2 linked regions of the Xenopus tropicalis genome follow. The protein of the gene in region 1 purifies or fractionates together with the protein of each later gene. This does not show direct contact. Links are inferred from orthologs where the notes say so. Each region holds a gene or a part of one and is shown on either strand. Other genes may lie near its edges.

Region 1 (4,257 bases):
GGATGCCCACAATCGTTCCCTGTAGCCCCAGCTACTCCCCCATCTGTAGCCCCAGCTACTCCCCCATCTGTAGCCCCAGCTACTCCCCCATCTGTAGCCCCAGCTACTCACCCATCTGTAGCCCCAGCTACTCACCCATCTGTAGCCCCAGCTACTCACCCATCTGTAGCCCCAGCTACTCCCCCATCTGTAGCCCCAGCTACTCCCCCATCTGTAGCCCCAGCTACTCCCCCATCTGTAGCCCCAGCTACTCCCTCATCTGTAGCCCCAGCTACTCACCCATCTGTAGCCCCAGCTACTCACCCATCTGTAGCCCCAGCTACTCATCCATCTGTAGCCCCAGCTACTCCCCCATCTGTAGCCCCAGCTACTCCCCCATCTGTAGCCCCAGCTACTCCCCCTTCTGTAGCCCCAGCTACTCACCGATCTGTAGCCCCAGCTACTCACCCATCTGTAGCCCCAGCTACTCACCCATCTGTAGCCCCAGCTACGGCCCAGACTGGCAATCAGTGGGTTCTAGTAAATGCCTCAGGGGCTGCTGTAGGATGCCATGGACAGTCGCTATTTATTGGGCTGGTGGGGGGGCTGTTTGGGCCTCTGTGTACTGGAAATGCCAGGGCCTATTTTGTATCCCAGTCCAGACCTGCCCCTGGCTCTGCTGTATGGCCAGGGCTCAATTTTAGGGCTATGCCACCCTGAACACCCCCACAATATGGCAATTGGTGCATACAGTTTCCACACCAGAAGTGCTGTTAGCTGTCTATTTTTTGGGAACAAAAGTATATAGAGCACAGAGCCCAGGGCAGCTGTCCCTTATCCGCCACCTTATAACGACAGCTCTGGCCATGGATACAGTAGGGTTATTGGTCAATAAATGGAGGGGAGTATTTATTAACGCTGGAAACAAAAATCACCACTGATGTTGCCCATAAAAATCAAGAGTTTTACTCTTGTTTTCTAACTTTTATGACTCTTCAAATCTAATGCTGATTGGTTGCTATGGGCAACATCACCAGCGACATATGTTTCTAATGCTAATGTCTATAATCGCCAAAGGGGCTAGAAGCAGTAACCACACTAGTACAGAAGAATAGATTAATAACAGGGGGTTATTAAGATAATAATAGATAAATACAAAGTATAACAATAAATACAAATAAATACAAGATACAGTTGCAATAATTTAAGAGTCAAAGACACAAGAGGATGGAGGTCCCTGCCCCGTAGAGCTTACAATCTATATGGACTAGTCACAACGTATCCCATAATGCAACGGTGTTTTTGAAGTGACAAGGGCTGCTTGTTATAGTGCCCCATGCAATAGGGCGCCTCAATGAATCACTTCCATCACCAAACACCATATACAATGAAACCTTTTGTCAATAACTTAGCGCAGCCGAACGGGCCCTTATCTATGACGTCGCGCAAGCCGCGGTCGCGCCAGTGACATCATTACGAAACCGCCGTATTCAGCTACAGGCCGCGACGCACAGCTTGTGACGCAGTATTTGTGCTGCCGGTGAAGCCAGCGATAGTAACATGGCTACCGGCGGCAATGTGAGACCGGCTGAGGAGCCGGAGGAGGAAGAAGAGGAGGATGAAGCTGCCGAAGAGGAGGAGGAAGAGGAGTATACCTTCCTACCGCTGGTGCACGACATCATTAAATGGTACAGTTAGTTTGGGGGTCATTGTAACTGAAACACTGCCCCGCTACTGAGCTGTTTCAGCAGTCGGAACCAGCAGTGTTTGTGTATCATGGGAAGTTGCCTGGAATGTCATTTTGCTTTAGTATGTAGCATAAATGTATTTGTATTTACTGTCATTTAGTTGGACACCACTTGCAGGTACTTTTATTGCATTCCCTTTGCAGCCAGTAGCATTCTGTGTCCCTTTGGCCCCATACAGGTAACATTGGAGACAAACATCACTGGGGATGGTGCCCATGATTGGTTAGGTTGGCTTCCAATGTTAATAAATACACCCCTTTATATCTGCAGGGCTTATTTACACTTGATTGTGGTTTGGAATACCTGTTGGTGGGTTAAAGAAGAAGGAAAGGGGGAATTATTGGGGGGTAAAATGTTAGCGCCCCGCCCAAGTGACTAAGATCACTTACCTGATACCCCGGGCTGGTGCTCCTGTTAAGCTTTATCAGAAAGGTCTATGTAAATACAGCCATAAGCACTCACACAAACGCTGCACTGAGTCCTCTATCAAAAGAAACAGGGTTTGTTGTCTTTGTTTTCCTGTGCCAGAGTCTGTGCAGCTTTCTCCTCTCTCCTGTCCCCCCCCTCAAGAATGCTAAGAACTCCCCCCCCCCCCTTAGGAATGTTTGATCTGAGCCAATCAGCAGGAAGCTGACTCATAGTCTAACTAACTGAGCATGTACACCAGTCTTGGTCTTGGTGCAGGAGCGAGGCTTTATGGGAATTTTCTTTAAAGAACTCAGCCTTTTTTTTTGTCCTATGAGGCTTCTGATCATCTGAACAGGAGAAATATGGGGAGACTTAAGGGCACTATTGAGAGAACTGAGGGTATGCCTGCAGCTTGAGATTAACTCTCTATTAGCCTTTCCTTCTCCTTTAAGTTGCTGCTGTGAAGAGTAGACCACTCTTGCCCCAATGGAAACACTTTATGTGATTTTTCCTTTACAGAATCGCACTTTCCATCTCATTAGCGGTGGCCGTTTTGGGTCCACTGCCAAGGACACAGGAAGTACTAATGTGCACTTACCTCCTGTTTCTTCTACCAAGCATATATGCATTTGCTGAGAAAACAAGAGTTTTTGACCTGCTTCTGCCCTGAACCCACGCAAGCCCAGGCTGACCCATTGTGTTAACATGTCTTATAAACCCATGCCCTACCTGCCCACTTTTGATGTTGCCAGAGGGGGGTGGGTTAGAGGCAAGTTTATAAAAGAAAGTGGCCAGGAAGAGTCAGATGTAGCTGAGCTGGGTCGTCATAATGATAAGGGTGGAAGGAGCTGGGCCAGGAAGTGATGTCACACTGGGTAAAACGGGTAAAGCCGCAGGGTATGTGTGGGCCGTGCATCACGTGCTAAGCCCAAGCCTGCAAATGGCAAATTTCTCCCAACCCACAGCCTCAAATAATCAATGTAATATTGCTAAAGGATGAACTGTATATGACAGAAACTGCTGAATTTGCATTATGGGGGATACAGCTGGATCAGAGCCAGTAGGTGTCCTTCATTCAGAAATGGCAGCGTGTAGTCTGTGCAGCAGTGCAGCCGTCGGCAGGAGACTACAGCTCTCATAATGGGAAATCTAAAGGCAGAGAGGATTGTACCAGTTCCATTAAGGCGGGGGTGTCAGGCTCTAGTCTGTCCAGCAGATATGAACTACAATTCCTGCATTCTTAATGTTTGTTTGGGAGCAGTGCTGTGCAACTTGTACTGCATAACTTTCCTGCTATGTGGGACAACAATCACACACAGGGTATGGATTATATTGATATTATGGCATGATACAAAGAAGGCAGTGGAGCCTTTGCCTAGGCTGGGGGCTTTAAGTACTTATTGGAGGGCCCCACCTGACCCACAGGCCATTTAGTTGCCCGAATCTTCCCTAGTAACGCTTTATAGTACATTATGCATATATAGATAATTTGTGTTTACTATAGGAGCCCCTTTAATGAAAGCAGGGCTGACCAACTGGAGCCTCTGGGATAAATGTGGCTTTTCACGTTTTAGGGCTTAGTGGCTGCTTATACTCGTCCGTATGATCTCCTCATTTCAATATTTATCCAACCCTCAGACATGATATGACTACTAAGCAGCTGACTACATAGGAATCCAGTAAGCCCTGCCAAGTTTCATTTGTTAATGTGACTTGATAATCGCAGGACAGGGATGTTACTGTGCCTTTAAATCCTAACCTTTGGCTAATTTTATGTGCCAAAAGTTGGACCCAATTCTTTCCCCCTATTACTGACTTGTGTTGGTCAGCGACATATATTTATGGCCGATAAAAGCTGCCACCCAGTGTGGTGGGCCCAGATCTGCTCGTTTGGTGACCCCACCGAATGAGAGGATCTGGCTGTGTATGGCCACCTTTAGAATTGACGTTGGGCTTGAAGGCTGAGCAAAGTTCTGATAGGCTGGAGGTAGAATCCTGCGAGCCTGGGAAACTGCTGGTTAGTTTACTGGTAGCAAGTAGGGCTTGTACATAAGGTTATGGGTGCTGCTTGGGGGACATGGGTGTCAGTATAAGGCGTGTCTGGGCAATGATTATGATAGGA
Region 2 (4,297 bases), on another chromosome or scaffold:
CTTAAAACATGGGAGAGCTACATTATGGCATTACCTATTAAAAAAAAAAGCCAGATGCTGGCGCAGTTCTTCCAGGGGCCTTCTCGGTACATAGAAAACTTACTCTTAAAAGCACACTGATGAAAACAATGATGAAAACACCCCTGGCCACTAAAGAAGAAGGGCAGAATTGTTGTATATTACGTTTTGGGGGTTTCGAAAAGCCAAAGGTGACCACAGCTCTGTAGCAATGAATATATGTGCCTTTAAAGGAGACATATTGGATAAATGAGAAAAACACTTATTTTGTAGGCAATTATAAATAATATAAGGTGCTGGTTTCACTTTGTGCTAAAAATTAATCCTATCTGTAAAAATGGCCCCTTTATTGGAGCTCCCTATAGATTGTATCACTTCTCCGTCCAGTGTGAAATGAAGAGTGGGCGTGTCCTAATGGTCCCTTCCAGAAGCACAGTAGGAGGGGGAGAGCCAATCACAACCCTGCACTCACACAAGCAAAGACAGGCTTCAGTTCCCTATCAGGTCAGCCTAGCTGCTGATTGGTTCCTATCCTACAGTGTAGTGTACGGAGGGCCGCCGGCTCCCCAGCTCATCCAGAGAATTCAGCCAGCAGGAAGTGGAACTGATGGGCGGGACTAGTATGGTTTTGGTGGAATTTCTCAATAAATCAGGTGAGTGATGGAGGCATGGTCAATCAAGTCAGGGGTGGGGTTATGACGGGTGATCGGCCACTGGCAACTGTCAGTCTAAGAGAGTCTTGCCCTGTTTCCCTAATTTGAAAAACTGGGCAGGGAGTTTTGCCCCAAACAGTCCTCCCAAAAAGTGAGCTGTCCGAGTCAAACAGGGCAGGTCCTGAAGAGACAAAAATCAGTATTCAAGCTTTACCATTGTCATCTGTTCTGAGCAAGAAGTGGACAGACTTGCATATTTTTTGCAAGTTATAATTGAGTCAAAATTAAGCCACCAGTGCTAGCATTAACCAATGTTATCACATATTTGTAATTGCGCCAAGACAGGTTTAAGAGCAAGTAAAGATCTATGATTTGTACTAAGATATATGGTTGCCAGTAGTAGGGTGGCCCGATTACTTTAAATTTAGGGACATGTCTAAAAAATCCAGCTAGCAGGGCTGTATTGATTTTAAATGCAATCAGTGCTGCCCTGCAACATGTATTTATTAGACGTGGTCCTGAATTTTCAGTAATCTAATCACCCACCAGTAGGGGAATTTTTGGTTTTGGCAGATCGTATTGGCTTCCTACGAAATAAGGGGCAAAATACCCCCCTCCCCCCACGACTGCGTTAATACCTTCTATTTCGAGCGTCCTCTCCTTTACGGCACATACAAGCGTGCTACGTCACGGCCCAGTCTTCCGTGCCTCAGCAGGCACCCTGGTGCCCCGCCCTCACCCCAAGTGCGTCACACGCACGCAGTACGCAAATGCAAAAGCTCCTGGTGTTCTGGAGCCAGCCTCCTGAGGACTTGAGGGAGAGTTGTTTTATGGCGGGTTAGCCGTGCACTTAGGCACCGGAACTTAACTTATTAGCTGCTTGAGCTTGCTGGCTGTGCTCTAAATGAAGTAATTGATCCCGTCGCATCCCGGTTCCATTCACTTATTTACAAAATTTTGTCGGGCACTTTGTTTTAGTAAGTGTATGTATTTATCAGCTGCCGTGTTTGTACCTCTGTGTCTTTATTGTTAATGAATTGTAAAAAGAAAACACAGCTCTGCATATACAGTTATTACATAAAAATGTACACACAAAACACCTAGGATTGCTGTCTTTTCAGTAGGAAATGACTGGCCTTACAGTCTTTGTTTTACTTCCTGCTTAATAACTTTGGAATAACGTTGGGATCCCCAAACCTTATTATGCATGAACCACATAGAAAGGTAAAAAGAGTTAGGGAGGAACACACGCATGTGAATGTTCATGGGGTGCCAAATATGGGCTGTGATTGGCTATTTGGTAGGCCCTATGTGGACTGGCTAATTTGAGGCTCTGTTTGGCAGTGCACCTGTTTTTTTAACCATAACTTGCCTCCAAGCCAGGAATTCAAAAATAAACACCTTTGAGGCCACTGGGAGCAACATCCCAGGAATAAAACAACATTTTGCTAGCCTGGTAGTACTCTACTTAACAGATCTAAAAGTGGGATGACCCCCATTTATGTCTATGTGAGGCTTGTGCACATAGTGCTATGTCAGGTATTGTTAAAGGAGAAGGAAAGGATGAATCACCGGGGTTGAACTCTTTGTGAAAGATTAGGCAAAAGTAACCTGATTTTAAGGATTTGGATATAGTTTGGCCTGAAGCTTGGATTTGGCTGAACCCTGCTGAAAAAGGCAGAATCTTCACCAAATCCTGAATTAGGTGCACCCCTAAATTAAACCATACCTAGGAAAGTAGGAAAATAATCTGAAGCATTGTACTGGCAAAGTGAATGCAATTGTTTCTGTTTTTATTCAGGACAAGTTCAGGCTGGAGGGGGGTTCTAGTAGAACATAAGCAGTGCAGTATTAGTGGAGATTCAGCCTTGTCTTGACTACAATTGTAAACATATGAATATTGTGTATAATATATTTGTTTTGTTTATTTAGAGAACTAACATTTTGCAATGGAGGCTCCCCCAGTCACAACAATGCCTGTATCTGGAGGAACTATTAACATGATGGAGTACTTACTGCAAGGTAAGAACAGCCTAACAAACTGTACTGTTACTGTATTAATGGTATTAGTTTGTCCCCTCTAACCAAAAAGTCTGTTTAGGCCCCTGTTTGTTTAGCAAGGTATACGAAAACATGGTTCTAGTAGTCACTGTATATAATTTTATAGCTGTCAAAAAATGTAAATAGCATTTGGTCACGTCACGGCCCGGTCTTCCCTGCCTCAGCCGGCACAAGCCCTGGTGCCCCGCCCTTACCCCCAAGTGTGACACACGCATACAGCTATGCAGAAGATCCTGGTGTTCTGTATATAATTTTATAGCTATCAAAAAATGTAAATAGTATTTGGTCACGTTTACAGAAAATAGCCTTCTGTCTCGGCATATCATTCCATTTCTTTTTAGCCCCAAGTAATGCCAGTCCTGCAGTTCATTTATTTTCTGTTTATTATGTTTATATAATGCCAACCTGATGAAGCACTAATTATTAGTCATTTACAAAAGCCTCTGCTCACCATTGGAGCTGCTATTATAGGGTCGTAATTAGTGATGCCTTACCCACACATGCCTGGCATCACTGGAGTGGAGGGGTTTGGCAGAATAAAGATATAAATAGGATGGTAGCCAGCTAGTGGAGTGCTGCAACATGCTGACATCACAGGGTGGTACATGGGTAGAGTCAGGACTAGAACAAGAAAAGTGTTGCACCAGCCCGATCATGCCCAGCCATTGGGTCCAGACATTTTAGGCTGGTCTGTGCAACACTAGTCTCAATCAACTTCACACAACAAAGGTTTGATTAAATTAAAATTTGGTTTATCTGTATGTTTTTCGAGAAAAATAAAAACATGCAGACATGCATAGATATTCCTGTTAGATAGTGCCTAGATAAAAATCAAACTCATGGCATCTGTGCTGAAAGGCACCAGTGGTAACCACTGGTGCCTTGACATGCACTGATAAAATCCTATGACTTTACAGTAAACTCTTTTGAGCAGGACCCTGTTTTACCTCTTGTATTGGTTATTGGTTGTATTCCTTAATTTTTTTCTTTTTTAATTGACAATTTTTTTGCATCTAAAAGTTTAACTCTCAAGATTTGCATTATATCTATATGTATCTCAAATACTGAATGTGTCTGTACGTGAATCACAGGAAGAGAGAGCATAGAGAGAGAAGGAAGTGAAGTAGGAAGAAAGAAAAGGAAGAGAACAGGGGAAAGAGAAAGGAGAAAGAAGAAAGAAAAAAAAATATGAAGAGCAAATAATATAAATTATTAGCTATAATTCCTGGATATCAGCCTCAGTAAAGTTCTTCCATGAGTCCCATTGCATTGTGATATTCAAGGGTTTGTGAGAGGTTGATAAAGTTTTTTAGTTCCAGCATTGAGGGAATAAGATCGGTTTTCCATTTTTGAGCTAAAAGAAGCCTTGCTGCTTCTAATATGTGTACTGCAAGGAGTTTGTTGCTTAAAGGAACAGTAACACCAAAATATGAAAGTGTTTTAAAGTAATTGAAATGTAATGTACTGTTGCCCTGCGCTGGTAAAACCGGTGTATTTGCTACAGAACGCTCCTATAGTTTATATAAATAAGCTGCTGTGTAGCCATGGGAGCAGCCATTCAAGCT

What was found. Proteins that work in one complex are often made in the same cells at the same time.
Region 2: the proteins of med9 (region 1) and med18 purify together in Homo sapiens (affinity purification with mass spectrometry; 6 studies listed by BioGRID and IntAct, counting the BioPlex papers as one, with this or other methods). This does not show direct contact. The link is inferred for Xenopus tropicalis from reciprocal best matches to the Homo sapiens genes MED9 and MED18.

The regions. Positions count from the first base shown.
Region 1 is NC_030685.2:15,709,652-15,713,908, reverse strand, and holds the start of med9 (mediator of RNA polymerase II transcription subunit 9), read left to right. Parts: upstream 1-1,457; 5' UTR 1,458-1,539; coding exon 1,540-1,667; intron 1,668-4,257.
Region 2 is NC_030678.2:78,266,257-78,270,553, forward strand, and holds the start of med18 (mediator of RNA polymerase II transcription subunit 18), read left to right. Parts: upstream 1-1,494; 5' UTR 1,495-1,648; exon of another isoform or gene 1,649-1,654; intron 1,655-2,603; 5' UTR 2,604-2,620; coding exon 2,621-2,693; intron 2,694-4,297. UniProt on the Homo sapiens protein: Component of the Mediator complex, a coactivator involved in the regulated transcription of nearly all RNA polymerase II-dependent genes.